Cricetulus griseus: one gene and its partner. The protein of the gene in region 1 interacts with the protein of each later gene in a pairwise test. Links are inferred from orthologs where the notes say so. Each region holds a gene or a part of one and is shown in the gene's direction. Other genes may lie near its edges.

Region 1 (3,250 bases):
TGAGTATGAGCTTCAGGCTGCAGACGGAACCCCAAATGGTGAGGTTGAAGCCATGGATCTAGAGCAGCTACAGAAAGAAAAGCAGGACTTAGAGCAGCAACTTACAGAGAAAAATAAGGTGAGGACACCCAGGACCTGGGCTAGCTGTGGGTCTGCTCTAGCCCAGCCCTCAGGCCTGAGGCCCCGCTGTTCCTCCTCAGTGCCATTACCCCTTCCACCAAGTCTGCCATCTCTCCTCAAGAGGTTGGTGCTGGATTTCTGATAGGTTTTGGTCTCACTCTTCTGTCCTCCAGTGTTTACATCTCTCAGTGCAAGTTAAGTCCTTGCTGAACATAGTGATGCATACCTGTAACCCTGCACTCTGGAGACAGATGCAGAAGGGCCAGAAGAAAAGGCTATCCTAGGCCATGGGAAGCTTTCTTTTTTTTAAATAGCTATTTATTTATTATGTATACAGTGTTCTGTCTTCATGTATGCCTGCAGGCCAGAAGAGAGCACCAGATCTCATTACAGATGGTTGTGAGCCACCATATGATTGCTGGGAATTGAACTCAGGACCCCTGGAAGAACAGCCAGTGCTCTTAACCTCTGAACCATCTCTCCAGCCCATGAGAAGCTTTCTTTAGAGACTGGTCTCACCATGGTGGCCCACGCCTTTAATCCCAGTACTTGGGAGACAGAAGCAGGCAGATCTCTGTGAGTTTGAGCCAAACTGGTTAGTCTACAGTGTTCCAGGACAGGCAGGGCTACACAGAAGAAACCTTGTCTCAAAAAACATTTTTTTTTTCCTTGAGCTTGATCCCTGTCGCTAAGGAAAATAAAATCCCTTGAGACAGATTATAAAGTTTCAAGTTAGGAAAATGGAGTACAGCTTTTTGAATGAATGATGGAATGTGTAGTAAACTACATTTAAGCCTTATAGTAAACCCACTGATTAAAACATAAAAATAAAACCAGTATCCAGTATTAGTGGCTTATACAGAAAACACTGAAATTATCAGTACAGCAGTGACAACCATGAGATTCAAACCAAAAAAAAAAAAAAAAAAAAAAAAAAAAGGAATCTGAGGAGCTGGATAGATCGCTTAGTGGTTAAGAGTACTGCTCGTACAGAGAACCTGGGTTCAACTCCCAGCATCCACATGGCAACTCCAGTCCCAGGGCATTCAACACAACTAAAAGCAAACATCCATACTTTAAAAACCTGTAGTATATTCTACAGAGCCACTCACAGCAGCAGGCTCCAAGTATGTGGGTGCTGCCAGAAGGCCTGAGGGCCCAGCACACAAGGGTGGGTGGCAGTGTTCTATTGAAAGAACAGGCTAATACTGTGGCCCCTGTGGGTCCTGGGAAAGCAAAGGGTGGAACAGCGGCAAGGAAGCCCTAGAGGGCCCTGAGAATGAACCTACAGGAGGGCCTCTTAGGGCCTTCTAACATGGCACTGACAGCTGGTATTGGGGGTGGGGGTTACCTCAGATTATGAAGCAGATGCAGCAGAGGATGCTGGAACTTAAGAAGACTCTACAGAAGGAGCTGGTGAGTGCCCACTTGTGCCCTCCACGCACTCAGTCCCATATGTCCCTGATTCTCTGGTCCTCCTGAGGTCATTGACTCCCTGGGGGGGGTGTGTTCTCTTAGTTGATTGCAGAGGGTTCTCTGAGAAGTCAGGTGTGGGGTGGTGGGAGAAGGGTCTTAAAGCTTGAGAAGTGTTCTTGTGACCATTTGACCTAGGGCCCACGGTCTGAGTCTGCCTTATCCATGCCTGCCTGCATTCTCACATAGAGAGTTCCCTAGTTCACTCCTCTTACTGACCCCAAGAGAAGAGCTGAGCCTTCCTCAGCTCAGGCACTTCCTTCTAGTCAAGGGCCCTTTTGCCCAATGATGTGCAGTTAGTCGAAGAGCTAGTTACAGCTGGGTCTGGAGAATCTTCCTGTGATCCTAGAATTAGCTGGAGGGGTTTGACATGGCACATTTTCCATTGCTTTTCAGAAAATCAGGCCTGACAGTGAGCTTTTTGAGGTCCGGGAAAAGACAGGCCCTGAGATACCAAATATGGCCCCTTCTGTCACCAATAATGCTGACCTGACTGATGCCCGAGAGATCAACTTTGAATACCTTAAACATGTTGTTTTAAAATTCATGTCCTGTCGAGAATCTGAGGTAAAGACTTCAAAATGCTTTTTGGGGTATCGGGCTTGTACAGCCAGCCAGTCCTGCATGGCTTCCCTCAGCCTGCTTCCACCTTCTTCCCTCATCCCTCAGTACTGACTTGTTGAGCAGACCATGAAGGGAAGTGGTTCCCCTCTGAATTTTAGCTTGTGTTGCTGAAGCCAAAGACCTAGAAAGAGTCTGTCCAGCATGAAGAGCAGGGTTAGCTGTTGAGGATATTCTCTTGGCTCCCAAAGTCAGAGATGACTCAAAGAGCTAGAACTGCACCCACCATCTCATCCTTGTGAACCAAGGGAAACAGGAAATGCTGCTCTTTAGTCCCTCAACTGCCTGCCTACCCCCAAGGCCTATGGCAACAAAAGTGGGTTTTGTTGCAGGCTTTTCATCTCATAAAAGCAGTGTCAGTGCTGTTGAACTTTTCACAAGAAGAAGAGAGCATGCTCAAAGAAACTCTGGAGTATAAGGTAGGCTTTCCCTAGTCTGCTGTTTCCACCGCTGCACAGGTGTCAGTCACCCAGGCACTGACACCCAGACCAGCCACAGTAGTACCTCAGCTTATTTGCTTTTGGGGGGGCGGGGGCATTAGAGACAGTGTTTCTCTGTGTAGCCCCGGCTGTCCTGGAACTTGCACTGGCCTTGAACTTGAGATCCAGCTGCCTCTGCCTTCTGAGTGCTGGGATTAAAAGCTTGTGCCACCACTGCCTGGTAGTTTATTTGCTTTCGTAAGATGAAATTGACCAGGCAGTTCAAAGAACATTCTTTTATTTATATTTTATGTATGAGTGCTTTGTGTATATACCTGCACACCAGAAGAGGTCATCAGATCCTATTATAGATGGTTGTGAGCCACCATGTGGTTGCTGGGAATTGAACTCAGGACCTATGGAAGAGCAGCCAGTGCTCTTAACTGCTGAGCCATCTTTCCAGCCCCCAATGTTCTGTTCTTTGTCACTGCCAGACACCAAACTATAGCTCATCACAGAATTTTCATTGATGTCACTTCCTCAACTGCTCCAGTTCGGGCCTGGCACCTACATTTAACAGTGTTTTTTTGTTTTGTTTTGTTTGTTTGTTTGTTTGT
Region 2 (3,655 bases), on another chromosome or scaffold:
CCCCAGTTTCTGGATTGAGGCAAAGAAAGCCTTGGCAGACCAGTTTTGCAGTGTTGTTCTGGGAGTCATTCCTGGTTGCCCAGCCTTGTGTCTACTTCCACCATTTCAGCAAGTTTGCAAAGCGCTTAATTTCCCAGATTAAGTTCCTTTCTGCTTAAAATAGCTAGAGGGCTTTATGTCTATGTACATGAATCCCAACTGGTTTGATTGTTAAGTGCAAAATGCAGGCCACTAAACAGTGTCTTCCTGATGGCAGGATTAACCCATGTGTTAACCTTTCCAGTGACCTAGGGAGGGAAAATTGAGTGGGAAGAGAAAAGTTTGGTAGTTGTACCATTAAGAAGGTGCCTAATAGTAGACCTAGGTCTGCATTATTATTCTCTTTGGATGTCATTGTGTTTGGCTTCATTGTTACGTAAAATGAGTTTTCATTTGGCATGCTTCTACCGGATGAAAGGAGGCCAGTGTGTTCTGAAGTGTGCTCGGGAGTTGTTTGCTTTGACACAAGTATGATTGGGAGGTGGCTGCCACTGATCAGTTACCATTCTCAAGAGGAGGGGTGCACCCAGGCACATGGGTCCACAAAAGGAAGCACCTGAGAGGGTCAGGATCAAAAGCAGCAAAGGGAAAAAAAAAAAAAAAAAAAAAAAAAAAACCCTCTGACACAGCCTTTGGTTTCTATGGGAAAGAACATGCAAGGCAGGGGTAAGCAGACTTATGATTGGCTAGTTCAAATCGTTTTGGTGGGCTCTGGGATAGGTCTGTTGTTAGTTATCTGGTTACCAGTTCTGGGATGACTAGGGCAGGGAGCCTTGTGAAAAAGAAAACAAAACAACAACCACAGGGTGGAGAAAAGGCAAACGGGAGGGGGGGGTTAGTTGAAACCAGGCATGGTAGTGCATGCCCAAAGTCCCAGACACTTGGAAGCAGAGGTGAGAGGACTGTCTGAGCCAGGACTGTAAGACCAGTCTCAGGGACATAGCCAGACCTTGCCTCAAAAAAGAAGAGAAAATAAAAACCGACCAAGGTTGTGCTTTCCAAGTTGGCTGGCTTACGTTTGAAGAATGTGCTGTCTGGCAAGTGTTTGTTCTTTCTCAGAACCAGCCAGTTCTGAAATGAGTATTCCCTAAAGGATTAGCAAAGTTCTAGATGCCAGAACATCAAGAATGCAGGAAACAAGGACCACTGAGATGGCTCAGTGGGTGGAGGTGCTTGCTGCCAAGCCCCATGGCCTGAATTTGTTCCCTGGGACCCACCTGATAGAAGGAAAGAGCCAACTCCTACAAGATGTTCTCTGTCTCCACACATGTGCAATGGTGTGCACAGGTACACATACACCTGTGTGCACATACACATGCATACAAGCACACACATGCATATATGCACATGCTAAAACGTTCAGTCCCCAGAACCCCCATCAGATGGCTCACAACTGCCTATAATTCCACTGCCAGGGAGTCCAAGGCCTTTGGGCTTCTCAGACACATGCAAACTCCTGGAACACAAAAACTCTCAAGCAGGAAGGCAGACAGACAGACGCATGGGGACACACACACACACACACACACACACACACACACACAGAGAGAGAGAGAGAGAGAGAGAGAGAGAGAGAGAGAGAGAATAAATACATAATAAATAAAAGGATATAACACTTAGATAACATTTTTGTTTCAACTAGAGAAAAGCGGTTAAAGGAATGGCAAGCACTTAAGAAGAAACAAAAATTTGGAGAACTGAGAGAAATTTCTGGAAATCAGTATGTGAATGAAGTTACAAATGCAGAAAAAGATTTGTGGGTTATAATTCATCTCTACAGATCAAGGTAACTACCATGGAATGTGGTAATTTCAGAATGTTGGTGCCATAATGCTTTAAAAACACTTCTAGCTTTAGACTTCATGATGCCTATGATGAGGAATAACTTAGAGAAAGAAACATGTATTACATATGAATGCATTGCAGATTGTTTATCTCTAGGGATTAAATTAAGTATGCTAAAATATTTTCATCTCCAATTTGAAGTCTGTCACATTTGTTAGAAAAGTGATCACTGTTTGGTATTAAACCACCTATATCACCCCCCACCACCACAAACATACACACACCCCACTAAGCTGACCTCAAACTCAGCCAAGGATAGTCTTAAACTCCTGATCCTCCTTCCACCCCACAAATTCTGAGATTATTGTGTACCATCACAAGGAGCATGGAAAAAAGTGGAGGTGTGGGGGGCATAGGGTGGCAGGGAGTGAGCTATGAACTCACGTGCCAAAGTGCAGGGTGGTACACTAGGAGGAAGGGAGGGATGGGAGAGTGTGTGGAGTGGGGCGTCTGTGATGGATGAAGTGGAAAGAATTGGAAGTTTGGGATCCTGCTTTTAACCAGTTTTAAATTTTAGATGAGAAATAATTCTGGATACTGGGATCCAGGATGCAGAAGACTGGGTGAAATTTATTAGGATCAAGAAAGCCAAGGAAGTCTGAGATGAGGCACTCTGGATGGGAGTGCCTGTGAGGTTAGACCAAGAAGTGACAAGAGTTGGATCCCTTTATTGCAGCTCAGAGCTACCCCAGATTCCCTAGACATGCCTGTTTTGCATTTGTATTCCTATATTCTTCCACCTAGGATGCTAAGTGACTAAAGTAATGCTAAGTGGAATGTAGTTTACCTAAATTAGGATGCATATTCCCAGGGTACCAGCATCATTCCTAGGGTACACATATGCTTTTATATAAAAAGTAAAGATCTATTTTTGCAATAGATAGGTTTCACTTATTTGGCTAGACTAAGAGAAGCAATCTGTATTTGAAACACATTGTGCATTCTCTTTTTTAGCGTCCCCATGTGCTTGTTGGTCAACCAGCATCTTAGTCTCCTAGCAAGGAAGTTCCCAGAAACTAAATTCCTTAAAGCCATCGTGAATAGCTGTATCGAACACTACCATGACAACTGTTTACCAACAATTTTTGTTTATAAAAATGGTCAGATAGAAGGCAAATTCATTGGAATTATAGAATGTGGAGGGATAAACCTCAAGTTAGAAGGTAATGATGTAATTTTTGTTTAATGTTTGTAATAGTAACAAGTGAAAAGTTCTCCAGATGAACAAATATGAGTTTATTTCTTTGAAACAAAGTTTTCCCCCTTAATTTTCTTCTTTTTAAGATTTTAAAAGTTGTATTAGCAAGCGCAAGCATGCACGCACATGTGTGTGTGTGTGTGTATGTGTGTTCCTGTGCAGTGTGCATGTTTGGTGCCCATGGAAGACAGAAACAGTTGTTGCATTACCTGACACTGGAACTCCAGGCACTCATGGTCTGCCATGTGGGTGCTGGGATCTGTGTCTCCAGCCATTTCTCCAGCCCCCATTCAATTCCTCTTAAAAATCCTCCAGATAGGTTTTCCTGTTGTCATGGGTATAATATCATAACACCTTTTGCTTAAGAATCTTAATGGTGTCTGTTTAAAATAACTCTAAAAATGTAAACTATTTAGTTTAGAACCAGTCCACCTGCACACCTCTAATTCTCAGTCCTGGATAGTGGATGCCTTAGTTGGGCTGGGCTTAGTCACTGAAGATCCCAGACAGAACTTTACACTCACACTTCATCATAAAAATCTCTACTTTCACCCAAATTCCTCAACTTTATCC

The links.
Region 2: the proteins of Golga1 (region 1) and Pdcl2 interact in a two-hybrid assay, tested with the Homo sapiens proteins (2 studies listed by BioGRID). The two-hybrid records come from large-scale screens. The link is inferred for Cricetulus griseus from reciprocal best matches to the Homo sapiens genes GOLGA1 and PDCL2.

The regions. Positions count from the first base shown.
Region 1 is NC_048599.1:150,282,024-150,285,273, reverse strand, and holds part of Golga1 (golgin subfamily A member 1), read left to right. Parts: coding exon 1-118; intron 119-1,476; coding exon 1,477-1,536; intron 1,537-1,989; coding exon 1,990-2,160; intron 2,161-2,546; coding exon 2,547-2,633; intron 2,634-3,250. UniProt on the Homo sapiens protein: Involved in vesicular trafficking at the Golgi apparatus level. Involved in endosome-to-Golgi trafficking. Mechanistically, captures transport vesicles arriving from endosomes via the protein TBC1D23.
Region 2 is NW_023276807.1:142,752,722-142,756,376, reverse strand, and holds part of Pdcl2 (phosducin-like protein 2), read left to right. Parts: intron 1-1,681; coding exon 1,682-1,825; intron 1,826-2,838; coding exon 2,839-3,047; intron 3,048-3,655. UniProt on the Homo sapiens protein: Essential for male fertility, spermiogenesis and acrosome formation.